Mytilus edulis: one gene and its partner. The protein of the gene in region 1 purifies or fractionates together with the protein of each later gene. This does not show direct contact. Links are inferred from orthologs where the notes say so. Each region holds a gene or a part of one and is shown in the gene's direction. Other genes may lie near its edges. The genes, in order: ribosome biogenesis protein wdr12-like and ribosome biogenesis protein bop1-like.

What was found.
Region 2: the proteins of ribosome biogenesis protein wdr12-like (region 1) and ribosome biogenesis protein bop1-like purify together in Homo sapiens (affinity purification with western blotting; 6 studies listed by BioGRID and IntAct, with this or other methods). This does not show direct contact. The link is inferred for Mytilus edulis from reciprocal best matches to the Homo sapiens genes WDR12 and BOP1.

Annotation. Positions count from the first base shown.
Region 1 is NC_092345.1:84,386,479-84,396,466, forward strand, and holds the start of ribosome biogenesis protein wdr12-like, read left to right. Parts: upstream 1-5,763; 5' UTR 5,764-5,834; coding exon 5,835-5,890; intron 5,891-7,689; coding exon 7,690-7,775; intron 7,776-9,050; coding exon 9,051-9,154; intron 9,155-9,763; coding exon 9,764-9,870; intron 9,871-9,988.
Region 2 is NC_092348.1:8,560,898-8,571,243, reverse strand, and holds the start of ribosome biogenesis protein bop1-like, read left to right. Parts: upstream 1-4,200; 5' UTR 4,201-4,215; coding exon 4,216-4,236; intron 4,237-4,568; exon of another isoform or gene 4,569-4,593; intron 4,594-4,635; exon of another isoform or gene 4,636-4,701; intron 4,702-4,827; exon of another isoform or gene 4,828-4,967; intron 4,968-5,671; coding exon 5,672-5,782; intron 5,783-6,644; coding exon 6,645-6,866; intron 6,867-7,443; coding exon 7,444-7,595; intron 7,596-8,674; coding exon 8,675-8,792; intron 8,793-9,062; coding exon 9,063-9,164; intron 9,165-10,346. Other genes in the region: inositol monophosphatase 1-like, read right to left, coding at 418-551, 2,249-2,314. UniProt on the Homo sapiens protein: Component of the PeBoW complex, which is required for maturation of 28S and 5.8S ribosomal RNAs and formation of the 60S ribosome.

The DNA of each region.
Region 1 (9,988 bases):
AATGTTGTTCTTGTTTTATTTAATTTTTACAGAATGTTCTATTTTTAAATTGTTAATGACCTGTTGCAAATTCCACAGGTCTACACAAGTCAATGCTACAGAAAAAAACCTTAGAGTTTAGTCGGAGACAGTTGCATAACTTATTATTAATATGTTCTTTTCTGACAAAATGTTCTTTGCATTAGTTTATTTAGTGAGTACGAAAGATAATTTAGACCTGTTTCTCACTTTGATCCGATTTAGTAACATGACTTTGTTATGTCTGCCATTAATTAACGTTGTTTTCTAAATTACATCTGTAAGTGTAAAGTAGGGATTAAAACATTGCAGAAATTTTCTTCAGGAAGAAAGTACTTCTTATTCCGGAAGTTGACCGATGACTTCGCCCACAAATCTGTTTTTGTTGTTCTGTAAGTCATGGATAGTACGATTTTTATCATTGGATAAATTTGACCTTTGACTTTTGCAAAAGTTTTTTCTAGCGGCAAATACAAAATTATTTTTTCTAAGATTTATAATTCAGATCAAGCCGAGGACACCTTCAGTGTCGCTTTTCCTTTTTCTGCAAGAGCCTGTTTTTAACTAGAGATCCTTGATGATTATCGTTACTAGGTTAATGTAATTGAGAAACATCACCCGTTGAGATGCTGAGTTTTATCCAGGACTGAAGAATAGTTTAAAAGGAATGATGACAAGTTATAGAAATCAAGGTTGAGACAGAACAACAAATGACTATTATATTTATATATATGTATAAAAAAAAATCAGTGTCGAAATTTTAGTGAGGTTTCGCCGTTTCAGAATCTAATGCATTCTGGGTAATATTTTCAAAAGTGTACACCAAAGCGTGGTGATTGGTTTATAACGTCCCAAACAATTAAAATTCAGCCAATGACGTGACGTTATTTTCATTTTGGGGTACGAACAATGAAATTACCCATAGTGCTTTAGATTCTGAAATGGCCTCACTTGCCTCAAGGGTAGCTATACGGCCTTGCCCTTACCTGAGATAGTGGTGTAATAGTACAACATTATCATGAGAAAGAACTAAAAAAAAACAGTTGAATCAGACTAAAGGTAGATTCATGGTATACCACCATCTTGGATTGTACAATCGCAGTACACAATCGGTCCAGTTCTCTGCTATAATCTGCAAATTTTGAGTCAGATTTGCAATTAATTGGTTAGACTATTCATTTATATATTGAAAGACAAATTAGTGATTGATTGCATTGTCCAAGATGTTTAAACAAATATCAAATATTAGTGTCTTTTAGAATCAATTATTAAACTTAGCAATCTAAGAGGAGATAACTCTTTTTTGTAATAAAATAATACTGGACTGATTTACTTGAAAAATAGCACTGTGACCCATACTTTTTATTATATTTTTGCCAAAAAAGCATTGTAAAATCTTTATTTTTGCAAAGTCATGATAAGAAAATTATATCTAAGGAAATATATATACCAATGACATACCTTAACTCATCAGATGGATACAAATAGAAACCCATTTAGGCTTCTTTTTTATTGAAAATAAGGAAATAGAAATTCAACGAAAATACACTTCGCCATCCATTGAAAAGTCCTCTTTACTTACTGTGACATCATAAAATTTTATCTATATCAAAGACCATCAAAAAACAAAACATGAAGATGCCAAAAATGCACTTTCTAAAATTGAAACATTTTAAAATGCTTTGGGAGCAATCATTTGACTTTAAGGAAGGAGGGTTATGAATTTTTGTCTGAGCTAAAAAAAAACACGCACTTTTTGTTTTGTTTTTTTTTGTTTTACGCTATCTACCTTTTATTTTAATTTAATACTGTATTAAAGATATGAGGGAAACCTGGATTTAGAATATGTTTTGGTGCGTTATCTGCTTAGTTATTGAGGTACAAGTCCCCTTGTTGAATCCTTAACTCATCTAGGTGATAGTACTTGATTTCGAGATTTTTTCCTTGTTTGAACCAAACACATTCAATATATGTATTTATATAAAAAAAGAAGATGTGGTATGATTGCCAATGAGACAACTGTCCACAAGAGACCAAAATGACACAGACATTAACAACTATAGGTCACCGTACGGCCTTCAACAATGAGCAAGGCAAATTTATGTATGTATCAGCATTGGAATCTTTTTACAGATTTCTAAAAACTCGTACAGCTAGGATACCAGGCTTATGTGTTACTGTGGGCATCAGTTGTACTCATTGGATATCAGACTTGTCTCTTAATTGTTTTGAATACCATGTATGATCAATGTCATGAAGGGTTTCTCTGAATTTTATTTGTATGGTGAGTTTGATAACTTGATGAGATGGCCGTTGCGTACGCCCTTGTGATATTTTTGCTTTGAATAATTTTAAAACTGCATAGTTGCATGTGCTGTGGACGTTTAGCCAAGTGGGCTTGTTTTGAACAATTCTGATATGGATAGCAAAGGGTGAATGTCCTTTTTTTGAATTTACAAATTTGGGTTTCGCGTTTAAGCTCTCTGTAGGAATTTACAATGTGGGAACGATTATTACAGATACCGGTGGACAGCAAACGAGTTCGAAAAAAGACATGCACAAGGAGACGTGATTTATTAGAGACACATATCGTTTTGAGTATAATTGAAAATATAGAAAAGGACACTTATTGTTGGTTAAATTGGATTTATTGGGGTTAACATTAGATTGTTGGTGATTTGGATTTTCGCCTATCTCACGACCCCCTATAATGGGTATTCGAATATTGAAGGTTTTTTTCTTCTCAATATTGTCCCATATGTATTTCGATACAAAATTATCACCCATTTATATATTTCTCAGTAAGAGTTAGACATCCAGAGACATGTCACATGCTTGAGATCGTAGAGACATGTCACATATTTGAGATCATAGAGACATGTTACATGCTTGAGATCGTAATTGCATTTGTACAGACATTTTTCCATATGAAATACTACCTCAATAATGTATTTGACATATAAAAAGTTAACCATTCCAGCGACATGTCAGTGTGTTTTTAGTGTTTATATATAAAGTCCCCCTCCAAAAACAAAATAAGACAAAATAACAACTATGGAAACATACGATACAGCCGAAAAGGGCTGCCACTAAAAGTGCACAACCAAGGCTTCTATAAAAGAGTACGGAATCAATAGGTGTTGATAGGAATACATACACCATAGGAATACATACACCATAGGAATACATACACCATAGGAATACATACACCATCGGAATACATACACCATAGGAATACATACACCATCGGAATACATACACCATCGGAATACATACACCATAGGAATACATACACCATAGGAATACATACACCATAGGAATACATACACCATAGAAATACATACACCATAGGAATACATACACCATAGGAATACATACACCATAGGAATACAGACACCATAGGAATACATACACCATAGGAATACATACACCATCGGAATACATACACCATAGGAATACATGAATACACCATAAGAATACATACACCATAGGAATACATACACCATTCGACTGTCACAGTACCTGCTCTTTGGTCGGGTTGTTGTCTCTTTGACATTTGATATTCCCCATTTCCATTCTCAATTTTAACATATCGAAGTTCATTATTGTCGAAAACTAGTAATATATGTGTCAAAGAGAACATTTACAGTTTTACTGAATCGTATCGAAGTATTTCTACTAGCATGTTTAACCTTTTCCTTACAGAAAGATGCTTTATATTTATATGCAAGTTGCAGCAGATCGAGTCATATCATTTATTCAACAACAAAATCTATTGCCGAGATGATCTTCTATTTTTCAAAATCTATATGAGTATCAATTTTGTATTCATGCTGGGACCAAAGATTTGTATACTATAGAAGCTTTACGATACAATTCCTGCTGAAACTAAAAGGCCTACAGTGAATTATTACTTTTTCTGGAGAAAAAAAATGAAATGAAAATTCGATGAAATTGCATCAAGGCATCTTATGAAAAGTATATAAAAATTATTTAAGGCGGATCCCTACAGATATAGCAAATTTTTTTTCACCATTGAATTTTTCTTAAAATTTGCATACATATACTATGCAATGGCCTCTATGAAAATTTGAGTTAAAAATAGTATGTCACCAGACTCGTTTCCATGGTAACGGTCACCAAAGTTGGCACATCACGTGTATGCATAAATACATACCTGATGTAGAAACTCTGGATTTTTTTTTAAGCCTTTGAAAGTATTTTGAAAGGTTTGTTCTTCATTTATTACAAAATTATTATTTAAAATGTAAATAAAACACAAATAATGGCAGTTTTATTCATTTTCATTGATTTCGGCTCTAATTTCATCAACACTGCTCCACAAAAAAAACACAGATTTTGTTAAAAATTTCTATTTTTCTTAAATTTCCAAAAAAATGGTCCAATGAATATTTTTTTAAATTTGACATAAGATGGTCATAACAATGAGCTTTAAAAAGAAATAAAAAAAAATATGGGTCACCAGACTATTTTTTGCCCGAAAAACGTTTTTGTGACCCCTAACGAAACAGTGATCAACAGCAGTTTTTTTATATCTTTCATCATCGGTGTGACATATGTTGTCATATCCTTTGTTAAACTAACACAGAATAATACAGTTTCACAAGGCAATCAAATGAGAACAATTTTTTGGTTTCTATGAACAACGGTTACCATGGCAACAGGACATGAAGTTGGAAAATTCAAGTTTTTGCATTGTTCTGATGTGCAAGATTAACAACCTAACAGACAAGATATTGTATAAAAAAAAGAGAAAATGTAAAAACTTTATTCTAAAGTAGAGCAAGGATTTGTATAGTATCACTATACAAATCCTTGCGTAGAGTATAACTTGATTGTTATAGAAATCTCAGGTACAAATAATTTTAAAAAGAACTACAAAATTCAATTTTCAATTTTATAGAGTGGGGTGCCCATATTCGCCGGGGACACAATTTCACCGTTATATGATTTTGGGGTGTAAAAACTTCAAAGGATGGCTGAAATGAAGAAATATGCCGGTGAATTATATTTTTATAACAAACATGATTATTTTTTAATCTGAGACAAAATTTTGGCAATTACCGCAAAGGACCGAAAAATAGACAACGATTTTCGGCTGATTTCCTGAATGAAAAACATGGTTTCAAAGAAGCATTTCAAAGTAATTCTTTGACTTGATTGCCCTAAATTTCAGTTCATTACACCTTTGAAATGTCTGCTATTCATCTATAATGACATTGATTTGATAAACATTGTTTAAAGTTATTTGGTTTTAAATAGATGTGTAAAAACGGCGAATATGTGTCCCCCATCGACAAAACATCAAGAAATTTCAAACACCCTTTAGTCTCACTTTTAAGATGATTATTTTCAAACAAACACGTTTTCAAGCTTAAAAATATTTTGCATTGGAAGTAATCTTCATATAGAAATATCAGTTTACTTCAAAAACATATAGACCGGAACATAAACTGTAGAAAACATCGAAAGATATGGCGAAAATGAGCACCCCACTCTACAAATAATTTTAAAAAGAACTACAAAATTCAATTTTCAATTTTAATAAAATTGAAAATTGAATTTTGTAGTTCTTTTTAAAATTATTTGTACCTGAGATTTCTAACAACCAAGTATTTATATAGTGAACACATATATAAGATCGTATAACCAGAGACATACAACAGTAATCACAGGTTGTACGAAATTTTATCATTTATTTTGAGGAAAGACGGTAATAATACCACTCGTTCGGAACTTCTCTGACGTTATTAGTTTATGAAAGATTTCCGACTATCTCCCCACATGTTGATAAAATGGAAACAAACAACATACCACATGTCCAAGCCAGATTCTTTACAAAACAACCTCAGTAATATGTTTAATCAATTTATTAGTTAAAATTATTTTCCTAATGTCAAACCTAAAGAGGGTGTACTCCAGAAGTACCCGTTTAAAACCGATAATTCGATTGATTTTCCAAGCTCAGCATCAAGATAAGTCAGATATTAGTCAAACAAATTTATTTTCTTCTTTATAACTGTTAGGATGCCAAGAAAATATCATCACAATTTCTCAGGAGAGTTTTTCCCTGAACAACACCTATCAGCAAGGGCAGTTCTTTCAGAAAGCAGAAATCAGAAACTCATTTTAATTTATGCTCCTTTCAAGAGCATACATAGAAACTCCCCTTGAAATATGTTTTTAATTTACAGAGGGTTCCCAAAAATAGAGCATTGCACCATTTGAAAATTGCATTTTACTTTGATTTTAAGCTTAGAATACTAGAAAAGAAGGTTAAAAGGAAGGACTGTTTGCAATGTATCTTGGGTACATCGAATGGCATTAGTTCCCCCTTTAATAACATAAATAAAGTCCCATGGAAATTATGCATTAAAATCTTCATTGTAATGTGTAGTATGAAAAAAATGCCGACAAGATTCCAGAGACAACAGTTTGGGGTATTGTGTCATTTTAACTAGATATATTGCACATTTGACCTCAAAATTTTCTTTGATATCTTGGATTTCCAATTTAATTCAAGATAATACTAGATTTATTTCACTTGACTGGGCGGGGTTTAAGAAGTTTGCTCATTTAAGACCAGTCCATCTATGGACAGGAGTTTTGGGACTCATCAATGAAGTGTCCAGTTATTTTTCGCATACCACACACTCAGTTCTTTAGTACAAAATGTATATGTGTTTGATGACACTGATAGGTGATTAGAATTCAATACTAATTATAACGGCAATCATCCTTATCACACACATCTTTAAATAGATTGTCCTTATGCAAATTAAAACATAAGCTCCGCCTGATCAGTTGAAATAACATTGGTAAAACAACTTACCGGTAATGAAGATCATGTTTTTTGTTGGCTCTTACAGTTTTATGATTTTTAGAACCAAGATAATGTCTGAAAGATCTGGACCTAGATTTGTTTTTTTAACAATATTGTTTTATAAATGTTTTATGAGTTGAAATACCAGAGATAATCGGTTGATAACTATTTTCCTGAACAACAACAATTAAACATTGTACTAGTGTAAGAAGTCACATACCTGCCAACTTTTCAAAATGACCATGGGGTTTTTGCGTGCAAGGTGGCTCATATAGTCCTACAAAACCTTCAAGGGGGCCTTCAAATACATTTTGATGTTGGTTTTGGGCTTTTGCATACTTTTAAAAGCCTTTAGCTATTGTAAAAGTCATTGTTTTGTTTAAAATTGTTAACAAATTTGCTCTTTCAAAATTTCCATTTGGGAGCTTCCATGGGGGAAATCCCCCACAAATAGTGACAGTTGGCAGGAAAACCCTTCTAAGTTGAGAAGCTTGAGATGGAGAATTTTTAACTAAGAGATAAAAAAATTGAAAAATAGAGATACATTAAACTTAGCATAAGATGTGAACTTTTTATTTGTTTTCTTTGTTGATTACTACATGTACCAGTGTTTATCTATTGGTAATCAGTGTTTTATATTTATCAGGATTTACATGTTATTTCTTTTTCTTTGTCAGCAGATAGTAAAATCATTAAAGAAAGAATGTACCATAATATTTAGTCAACAGTATTGTTGCATTAAATTATTAGTCGCTGAATGAAAAAAGTCAGAATAAACCAACAAAGAAATCCATTTCCACTTCATTTTGAATTTTAATATTTTTTAGGTTTTCAGTTCCATCTGCACCATTTTCAGTTCAAGCACAAGTTGGAACATGTGACCTGAGTTCATTAATAAACAGTCTATTGAATGGTTTGTATGCTTTTCAACCTTAAAATATAGAGCATAGTTGATCTTTAAAAGGAGTAAAGTAAATTCTGATGAAAAAGTTTAAAAGTGCTTAATATAATTTTTTTTGTTTTGCTTCTAAGTTAGTGCAGAAAAAATATTTGTATTGAATAAGAAGAGCAGCTAAATTGAGAGTATGTTAACATTGAATATGTGCATGTATGTAACATAGATTCTAATGCAATTTGGATGTTACAATTTTTTTCATTGGCTAAAAATTGCCGTCAAATCCACAGTTGACCAGGCGTAACTAAGGAGGGACCGCCATTTTGAATTGATTGAATCAACAAATGTTCGTTTACTTCTATATAATCGAAAATAAAAACAACACCTACCTCGAATTTGCCGTTTTAATGTAATTTTATCCGAATTTGAAGCGTACAGGTAATGTAATAAACTCCAGTTTGAAAGTTTTTATTTATACGATGCACGTTAAGCCATGACGTCTTTGTGCCAAAATCATTCATGAAGTTTCGCAGATTTTTTTCTTTTTGTCAAATTTAGACATTTTGTCAAGTTTTATTGTATTTTTTTCTTTTTGTAATGCATTAGAATCGGAATAACAGTACTGTAGTTGAAGAGTTGCCACCGTCAATTTTGATTTGACGGTCGCAAATCTCCGTTTTACTGTCTCCGCTACGCGTCGCCAGTAAAACTGCATTTGCGACCATCAAATCTACAATTGACGGTGGCAACTCTTCAACTACAGTACTGTTATTCCTTAAATCTACCTTCATTTAAATATATCCTGTAACTTTGATAATCACAAAATAAAATTGCATGGAAGTGGTCTGAAAGGGCTGAATTCGAAATAAAGTATCTGGGAAAATAAGTTGGTTTACAGTATAATAATATTATATAACTTGAGTTGATATCAAGCCATATCCAGTTCTCAATTGTTATAAGACCTTTAAGGTACCCAACACCTTTACTAAAATTAATTTGACTCGTTTAATTTTCATAAAATTTTGACAAAGTATTTACTTTGACCCTTTAACAAAAATATAAAAATTTCAAAATATTTGAACCAAACGTTTTATCAGGAAAATTACACTGGTTATATAGCAGTTTGACAAACACACATTTTGATCATTGAGAAGCTTAATATTCCCTTAACAACACAACGTAATTAAAACGTTTAGCTGATTCTACAGAGTTATCTCCCTGTAGTGTTAGGTACCACCTTAATTAAATTATTTTTTAATTAAATAATTTTGTATTGATCGTTTTCAATTTCAGAGGGCGATGGTGAGAAGACAAATGTTGATTTTGATTTTTTAATTGATGGAGAATTTCTGCGACTAAACTTAGATAAGCATCTAGAAAACAAAGGCATATCAACAGTAAGTGTTTTTAAGACATTTTAGTACAAGTACAGAATGAGTGCCACTGGTCCAGGTTTATATATCTATTAAATGCCTTTTAAAGAAAAATATACGTACACTTCAGGCTCAAACAATCATAAAATTGGTTTATGTTCATTGTTCACTTTGGAAATAGACGACTGATTGAGATCAAAAGACAATTTGAATAAATCTTTGATTATTGTTGAATTAATAATATTGACTATGATGGAGAAAATGCTAAATAAGTTTTTTGTTTTCTGCTGAGAACCTGTCTGTACAGGAATTTTTACCTAGAAATCAACACAACAAAACAGATTAAATTTGACAAATACCAGAGCTGACCATAAGGTGTTTTTATATAGAAATTGGATCCTCTGTTTTATAAACTGACATGTATTGGATATGGGGAACAAGGTGCTACACTATTGGTTATTGCTGTATCCATTTTAATGTGTTTTGATTACTAAATAATGTTTTCTGATAAAAATCCTTTCTATAAATAATTGTTTTTAAAAAAAAATATCACAACTCATTCATGGTGATTTTTGGCTTATATTCACACACATATACATCCCTTTTAAAACAATTTATTATTTCTATATTAAGGAGTCATTGGTTGATATAGAATACATTGAAAAACAACAAGCTCCAGAACCAGAAGACTCACTAGTACATGATGACTGGGTCAGTTGTATACAGGGCTGTAAAGATTGGTAAGTATAAATGTAACCATGGAAATACAACAGTGTCTATGGTAAGGTATCAGGACTGTTAATCTTTGAGGAATTCCTGCTTCCTGCCTACTGAAGGCCAACTAAACCAATAAAAAAA
Region 2 (10,346 bases), on another chromosome or scaffold:
TTTCCTTATGTGTCATTAGAAAGTTCTGCAAATATTTACTTGTCCGAATAAAATTTTACTTGTCTGGATCCGGAACATCCATCAGACTAGTGGCTAACAGTGCAGACTATTTTTGATTCATTATTATTCATTGGATACCAATTTTCATGGATTTAATCATAACCTGGGAACCACGAATTTCATTGAGGAATGAATTACAAATGTTATATAGAAATGTATGCAGGCTTTGGCAAAACCACGAAATCAAATATCCAGCAAAATGAAAATTTTCCTAAATCCATGAAAATTGGTACCCACGAAAATTAATGAATCCATATAGTAATGTATTTGTGTGTGTTAAAAGCAAATGTGACATGGGACTTCATACTTCTAATGTAAAACTGAGATATGTCGCCTCATAATGATTATTATCCTTACTTGTGAGTTGGATATTTTTCTTTCAATGAGTTAATTATCTGTTTCTCTACGGCCTGATCTGTTTCTGTCACTAGGTCAGCATAATTACTTTTGGTCTGTAAGGATTTCTCTTTGTAAAAGGCCTCTCTAACTACCTGGAATATAAATTTTGGGTAATTTCTGACAAAGAATGTCCGATCATTGAGTCATACCCATTTATTATCAATCTTAATGTTTAAAATACAACAAGCCTTGTCCAACTAAATAATGAGATATACATGTATACTGATATGAATATCAATCCAAACAGGTCATGTCAATAGCCAATGACCCTTAATACCAGAATTCAAATGACAGTTTAATGACTAACTTTACTGGTAATATTCATTTTAAACATTTAGCATGGGTTTTTTAGGTGTTTTTTTTTAGTATACTTTGTTTTTTTTTGTCTTTCTATTTTTATCTTATTTTATTTTTCTATAACCTTATACCATTTTTCTTCAAGTAACATTCATTTCATTTTTCTGTTTTTCCCTATTTGTCAAAGGCAGAGATGCAACTAATCGTCGGACCTGTCAGACCTAAGGGGCAGAATTTATGCAGGTCCGGCAAAACTCGTTGCTGTGCAGGACCTGATGGCCGTCAATATTTTAGTCTGCTTGGGTCAGCCAAAACTTAATTCCCCGGTCGGTCCTGGCAGAGTATTTTGTTTATAAAATTGTGAATTTACAACCACGTTGCATGATTAGATAGAACAACATTCAAGGCTTCGATTACATAATAGAAATCGGGAGTTCAAACTGTTTTAATGATAACTATTATAGCCGGACACCTTCCAAATATCCTTCCTTAAAAAATAAAAATAAAACCTTTTGCAGTATAAATTTCAGTTTTGAAATCGTATGTTTGACATTGTTAATTTATTGAAATATTTATATCAAACGCAGTTATTTAACAGAGAATACACACCATTGGTTTGAAAAATGACGTAACTTTAACCTCCGTAGCAGAGTTCAAAAAATCTATGGGTCACTGAATATTCACAATATATTTTATTTTTTAAACTTTTCTTTCAAATTAGTTTTAATCCAGAAAAAAGTAAAAACATTGCCTGACTGTACCTTAAGTTGAATATCTATATCCAAATTCAATTAATTAAAGCTGTAATCCATGATCAAAAATTGAATGCTTTGTTTACAATTGTTGAAAGCCATGTGCTTTTTAGCGGGAAAATTCGGGAAACCCCTTAACAGGAAACAGTTACATTTCATTGTTATTTATAGACATATTACAAAGTTTTTACATAGATTATTTTGAGTGAAAATATAGGTCTGGCAGAAATGTGATGGGTCTGGCAAAACTTCGTACCCTGTAGGCCCCAATGTCTGACAGGAAAAAAAAACTGTTTGCATCTCTGCAAAGGGGGTAGCCTATTCTTTCTATTCAACTACATACATGTATATATAACTTTAAAGAGTGTTTAAGTGTGTTCAATTGGAATATTTTGCCTGAGAAAAGATAAATAACAATGCAGCGTATATTGTAAGACCAAAATGTATCATTTCAACACAACAATCACCTTAAATTGTAAACATATTGGAGAATATAATATTCATTTGTGCATTTGGGTCAGGTTGAAGACTGTGCCATCACTTCAACATCATTCCAACATACTGAAAATTTGCAAAACAAAAAATTAACTTATAAAAAAATTCAGTACCTGTAGGAAATTTTTGTAATTTATTTTTATATGTACCTTATAAATAAGTTTTTAAATTCATTATTGGTTTATAATCCAAATAAAAAAATGTGAATATAAATTATCAATGACATTGCTTAAGTTCATAATTACCTCCCCTGCCTCCTTGGCTACTCCTGTAGCTGTCTTTAAATAATCTTGAAGTTCAGCAGTAGACATATTCTACAATAAAAAAAATATACAATTTTTTTTAAGTCAGTTGTATTGCATATTAACATGATTAATGATGTATCTCCACACAATTTTGGCTTCTTGACATCATTGTACATGTATCTCACTTCTATATGTCTGAAACTAGTTTTTAAATTACAATACTGAATACAAATTATTTTCCTTGTTGGAAAGTTTACTAGTACATATGGAGCTCCATAAATGAAAGATGAACCATGGAGGAAAGTTCATCCAGTAAAACAATGCTGAGTGTTGCAATCAAAACTAAACATGCTAAACTGATATGTTCATTTATCCATTTTTTTTAAAAGGCTAGTGCAACCTTGGACACATGTTGGATAGTACTATAAATAAATACACAAGGTTAGGGTGAAGGTTGGCTCCCTATAAAAACATTTAAACCCACTGCATTTGTTTGCACCTGGCTAGTAAAGAACCTGATGTTCAGTGGTTGTTGTTTGTTGATGTGGTTCATAAGTGTTTTTCTTGTTTTTCATTTTATATGCATGTAGATTAGACTATCGGTTTTCCTGTTTGAATGGTTTAATTTTTTTTACACTAGTTATTTTTGGGGTCCCTCACAGCTTGCTGTTCTGTGTGAGCCAAGTCTCCATGTTGAAGGTTGTACTTTGACCTATAAAGGTTAACTTTTACAAATTGTGACTCAGATGGAGAGTGGTCACTTTCTGACTCCCACTACTATACCTGTCTGAAAAGCAATATTAACTCCTGATTTATATCGACAGGAAAACGTCATCAGTATAGCACATGCTGAATTATCCGTATTAAGGATGATTTACTCATATTTAATAAATTTATATTTATGTAGTACAGCTTAGATGCATGATTTTTTTTTATTAGTTGTTAGTGGCTTTGAACTAGCTGTCAGATAACTGCAAGTACTCTCAGATCTGTTCCTAGTGTCTTTTTGTTGTCGGGATGTACAAGTACCCGGCCACGTCCACTTGTATGTTTGTCCATCTGATGAGTTAAGCCTTTTTCAACTGATTTTTATAGTTCGTTCTTATGTTGTACTGTTATACCACTGTCCCAGGTTAGGGGGAGGGATGGGATCCCACTAACATGTTTAACCCTGCCACATTATTTGTGTATGTGCCTGTCCCAAGTCAGGAGCCTGTAGGCTGTATTTTAGTGGTTGTCGTTTGTTTATGTGTTAAATATTTGTTTTTCGTTCATTTTTTATATAAATAAGGCCGTTAGTTTTCTCGTTTAAATTGTTTTACATTGTCATATCGGGCCTTTTATAGCTGACTATGCGGTATGGGCTTTGCTCATTGTTGAAGGCTGTACGGTGACATATAGGTGTTAATGTCTGTGTCATTTTGTTCTCGTGTGGACACTTGTCTCATTGGCAATCATACCACATCTTCTTTTTTTATATTAATTGATAATTTAATTTTATAAATAGTATTTGTATATATTTGTTCATGTACTGACTTATTGACTGACTCTGACAGAGTATACAGCATGTACAGTATGATGGTTCACATAAGTATTTACATCCTGGGTTTTCTATTTCTTTATTCCGATTGGTTACTCTATGAACACCTTTGATCTTCAGACACTCATTTCAAATTATAGGGCTCTTCACGGTTAGTTAGGCCATATTCATATATTGGATAGGGGGCAGATTTTTTAGAAAGAGGTGGGAATAGTATGAAAGTATGGGAAATCCTATGTGTGCTATCAAGCATCTGCTCTGTTTTAATGATGTTTTCCCGTATTTTCACACTATTTTTACCTCTATTATGAAAATCTGCCCTCTATCCAATATGGCCAAACTAACTGTGAAGAGCCCTATTCTTCACAGAGATGTAGAACCCTACTAGGAATTATTTATGCTCAACTTGATAAGTCTAAATTTATAAATGAGGGTCGTAACGCTAACGGTAATTTTTAGTGCATGACGATAAAAATTACACTTTCTCAAAGACGATCAAGAAATAAACTGATTTTGAGTACTCACAATAATAATTTGAAACCTTTGACGAATCACAATTTTGGCGAGACACAGTGAAATTTTTAACAAATTTAACGCTAACAGTAGCCGAAATGAAAATTTATCGTCTGACGGAAGGGCATTCTTACATTCATTTAAATTTATAATTTTTTTGTGCTATTTTGACTTTCTTGCTGTTTGTTTATTCATTTATTTTTTATCCAATTTTTTGTTTTTTTTATGGGGTGAGGGATCACAGCCTTTAACTAAACCAAACAATACTTTTAACCAGTTAACAACCACTCGACTGACTAGATAAAGATTAATAAAAAACGTTTTTCTTACTTACCGGTGTGTGTGTTACCGAGTGTTCTCCCTTGGTAAATAAGACCCATGTAAATGATAATACTGTATTCTGGTTTTAAGAATAACAAAGGTCTTTAAAATATATGTAATTATTTTTTTGTTTTTCAATATATCCCTATATTCCTATCATCTGAGAATATTCATCGATGAAAGACATGAAAATTATTTCAAAGATATCATTTGTTTTTGCATGTAGCGTGTTTCCGGTTATGAGATGTAAACATCGAAAAAGATTGTACTTTTTATCAGCTTGTATTAGACTATACTTTGTCATATTGTGGCTTTAGGACTCATATCCTGTAAAAATATTTAAAGGTAATGGAAATACATATTTACAGACATCTCAAATTTTAGATTTCGTAAAAATATCAAGTAATTTGTGTTACAGACCATTCATCATGTCATGAGACTTAGAAAATTATTGAAGAGTCTGATTATTGATTAAAAAAAGTGTATGAAGAGGAAGGCATATCTTTTAAACACATATTAAAGTGTTAAAGATCCTTTACTCATGTTTTGTAATGTAGCTAACTGACAGTGATGCACCCATACACATCTGCACATGTTGGACTAGTTTTACACACTTATTTTTTATTGATTACCGGTCATGGCTGATACTTTTCTGTCTCTTTCTTGTTCACAAAGTTATACAAACAGACCCCTTGTTTGTTTGATATACTTATGATGTTACCTAATTGGTCCTTTTTTACATTCTGCTGCTGAGGGCCCAGGGGCCATGAATAGAGTCACAGGGTCAGTGTTGATTTTAGTCTTTTTTTCATATTTACTTGTATATAGATATAGGAAGATGTGGTATGAGTGCCAATGAGACTTCTCTCCGTCCAAGTCACATTTAAACCATAGGTCTGTTTTGATCATGACAATTTTAGCCAATAGTTATCACATATGAAATTTGTGAAAATTTGGGGATCATTATCAATGTTATTAATATGGATTTATATTCATAATATTATGACAGCCAGTGTCTTATATTTATTAAAACCAATTATTTCTTGTAGATGGATTTGTTTCATGACAAATCAGCCAGTGAATCAGATGGTGACACAACAGATTCAGAAGAAAGTGTTTATTCAGGACTAGAAGAAGAACCAGACACATCAGATGATGAGGTATAGATATCTACCTTTATATACATTGAATGTCATATCTCTTCTACATCTTTACAGTATCGAGGAACTATTTCCTCTACGTGTTCAGAGTATCAAGAATTGAATGTCATATCTCTTAGTCTTCCATGTGTTTACAGTTTAGAGTATTGAAGAATTGATTGTCATATCTCTTCTACATGTTTACAGTATCGAGGAATTATCTCTTCTACCTGTTTAGGGTATTAAAGAATTGAAATTCATATCTCTTTAATTTGTTAAAAGTATCAAAGATTTGAATGTTTCAGACTAAAGGATATAGTTTTATCAACATGAATCATTGACAAAAGGACATTTTAAATGAGCCAGGCATTGTACACCTCTATATTGGGCTAGAGAGGACAATGCATCAGTTAAGGTTCTAGGTCATAAAAAGTTTAGGCATGCATTTTCATTAATGTCAAATAACAGTTTAAGATATTTGTCAAACATGTATACAGAACATGCATAATATTGTTAAATTCTTACTCAAAACAACTACAAAACCACATATCAAATATTATTGACCTGTTGTGTATTGTGATTGAGGAAAAACTTCAAACAGATATTGAAAATCAAGTTACCATCAGTATGGTCTGACCACAATAATTGGCTTACGAGCTCTCATTAAAAAAAATACCTACATACGCAAACAAATTATGTTCAGGTATGCAGGTTATAAATAAATGCCATCAAATAATAATACAGGTTCATAAAGAATGAAAGACACAACAAAAATCAATGTTTCACAAACATGAAAAATATGTTTTTCTCAATTTTATTTACAATGGTTGAAATGTAAAATTGCTGATATAGATTTGTAACTTAATAAATAATTTTTCAATAGGAAGTAAAGAACGATGACAAATCAGACAGTGAGAATGGGGATAATAGTGAAAGTGACAAAGAAAATGTTATTGACAATGATACAGAAGACAAAGATGTGAACGAAGAAGATACAAACACTGTTAATGTGGCAGCTAAAAATAAATATAATGATAAAAATAATACACGAACAACATCTCAAACAGTGGAAGACGAATACTATCATGATTCTTCTGATGAAGAGGTAAGTGTTTTGATTGGTGGAAAGTATTTTAAGTATTAATGTTATCATCTTATTTGATTGGTTAAATGATTTCTTGTACATCATTAGTATATAAATAATTGTTTGTTTAATGGAAAGTATTCTTATTTCTACTTATTTATCAATATTTACGATAGCAAAACACAATAGGTGATCATGCAGTTGAATATTCTCATAGATAAATGAAGATGTTGTTTATACCCAAAGGAGACAGCAACCCTGCTACTCAGTGATCCAAGACGTATTGAGGAAAACATGTAGTCTTCACAATACAGGTGTCTACACCATATGTCAAGAGGAAAACATGTAGTCTTCACAATACAGGTGTCTACACCATATGTCAAGAGGAAAACATGTAGTCTTCACAATACAGGTGTATACACCATATGTCAAGAGGAAAACATGTAGTCTTCACAATACAGGTGTCTACACCATATGTCAACATGTAAATTGTACAATAAAGTTCATAATAATTTAAACCAAAAAAATTTGTGCTTTGTTGATTAACAAATAAGTTAGAGTTTAGAAAAAAAAAACTTACTTTTGCTGTATATTTCAGGATATCCGTAACACCGTGGGTAACATTCCAATGGAATGGTATAGGGACTATCCACATATAGGTTATGATGTAGAGGGAAGAAAGTTAATCAAACCCAAAAAAGGAGATGAACTGGATGAGTTTCTACAGAGAATGGATAATCCAGATTATTGGTTTGTATTAACATGTTCATTAAAAGTAGATTGATGTGTATGGTTTTTTTCTCATTCAATGTAGAAGAGATCTGGAGAGATTGGAATGTACCTATTTCTGTAAAATTTATATGAGGGTGGTAAAGGGTTATTTTCGTGCAACGTTTTCGGCCTTTTTATTTCACGTGTTTTCGTGTTTTTGTGTTTTATTTCTCGTTTTCTCGTGCTTAGTTCGATGTGCGTGCTTCGTATTTCCCCTTATTTATTTTCCGTGTTTCGTGTCGGTGCTCTTAATTTCTCGTTCTTGCATTGTTCCTCATTTTATTAAAAAGTAAATTGGAACTAACTCAAAGTCAGTGAGTTATAGTACCTTTTGAAACTTGACGTGTAATATAATGGAAATTGATGTATATTGTTACCATTCTACTTTCTATTGTATATGTATGCTATACATGTAATAGAGTCCATCATAATAATTTTTTTTTTCAAATCAGATGCAAGTAGCATAGGCTAGCCTAAAAAGTGACCACAAGGTCTTTATGTCCATTAACAATGAACGGCTGAGTAATAACTGCTGGTACTTTTTTTCTTAATATTTACGATTTTATTTCTCGTGCTTCATTTTTCCCGATTTTTATTTTTCGTGCTACGTTTTTGCGATTTTTATTTCACGTGTTTCCGTGTTCAGTACCCCCCTTTACCACCCTCTTATATGTTTTCTTCAGTATGAATTTAAAAGCTGAAGGTGACAACTATTGATGTTTATCTTTATAAAAAAAGAAAAAAGTTATATCAAGCTTTTTCTATATTTCTCTAAAGGAATAGAGAAAAAAATAGATCAACACTGGGCCTGCATTTAATGTGAACAGCGAGGTTGACAACCATTAAGGGGAGATAACTTAATATGAACCCTCAAATTAGTTCTGTAGGGAATTACATGTATATGATGTTTAGTTTTGATAACAAATGCCATGCATTGAAATGTTTTCAGCAGATGTAAACTTTTGCTTATAGTTATAGTTATAGTAAACTTGTACACATCAAATATTTAGAATATGTTGATAAAACTAATATATAATCCAATATAATTTTAACCCTAGGAGAACAGTGACAAACAAAATGACGGGACAAAATGTATTACTGACCAAGGAAGATGTCAGTCTGATAGAAGGTCTCATGTTACAGAGGACACCTGGAGGAGCAAAGGAAACATATGAGGTATAAATATCAAGAGAAAGAAGGCCACCTGATTTCAGAGTTTGTGATGTATTTAAATTATTAAATTGTTGAAAAACAAGGGGGAAAACACAAACTTAAAAGCAAAAGAATGAAAATGAAAACAAAATCCTAACCTTACATACAAATAGATTGATTGTATCTAGTTTGAATGGATGTAATCATTTATTTCTAAACATTTTTTTTTTCTCTTATTGGTCAATACGTTTACCTTGTTTGATGGACAACTGAAATACACTTTTTCTTTTTTAGCCATGGATTGACTTCTTTACACATGAGACAATGATACATCCTGTTACCAACAGACCAGCTGACAAAAGAAGTTTTATTCCATCGAAGTGGGAAAAATTAAAGGTAACTATAAACTAACAGTAAACAATAGGTAAGTCATGCATGATCATCATGTTAGATCTTCAAGATTCATGTGGAATTTTCAACATTTTATATTTTGTGTGATTCTAGTTTCAAGAGTTTCCTTCCAATCTTTCAAAACTTTAGATTATGAAACAACTCTTACTTTGAATTAAAGTATTATTGAAAGCATTTAATAGATGTTTACCAGTTATATCATACCTACATACCATGTATGTCATACATATATATTTTAGCATTAATCACTTTCATGAGTCATGTTTTTCTGATTACTGTGGATTCATTACTATTCTAGGGGTACAAATCAAGGAACGTGGATTCATTACTATTCTAGGGGTACAAATCAAGGAACGTGGATTCATTACTATTCTAGGGGGACAAATCAAGGAACGTGGATTCATTACTATTCTAGGGGTACAAATCAAGGAACGTGGATTCATTACTATTCTAGGGGGACAAATCAAGGAACGTGGATTCATTACTATTCTGGGGGACAAATCAAGGAAAGTGGATTCATTACTATTCTAGGGGTACAAATCAAGGAACGTGGATTCATTACTATTCTAGGGGGACAAAAATCAAGGAACGTGGATTCATTACTATTCTAGGGGTACGAATCAAGGAACGTGGATTCATTACTATTCTAGGGGACAAATCAAGGAACGTGGATTTATTACTATTCTAGGGGGACAAATCAAGGAACGTGGATTCATTACTATTCTAGGGGGACAAATCAAGGAACGTGGATTCATTACTATTCTAGGGGGACAAATCAAGGAACGTGGATTCATTACTATTCTAGGGAGACAAATCAAGGAACGTGGATTCATTACTATTCTAGGGGGACAAATCAAGGAACGTGGATTCATTACTATTCTAGGGGGACAAATCAAGGAACGTGGATTCATTACTATTCTAGGGGGACAAATCAAGGAACGTGGATTCATTACTATTCTAGGGGGACAAATCAAGGAACGTGGATTCATTACTTTTCTAGGGGGACAAATCAAGGAACGTGGATTCATGACTATTCTAGGGGAGACAAATCAAGGAACTATCCATTTTCTATGCAGACTTTGGCAAATTACAACAAATCAAATATCCATGAAATGCTTATTTTCCTCATTTCACAAAAATGGTATCCATGACAATGATATTAGAATC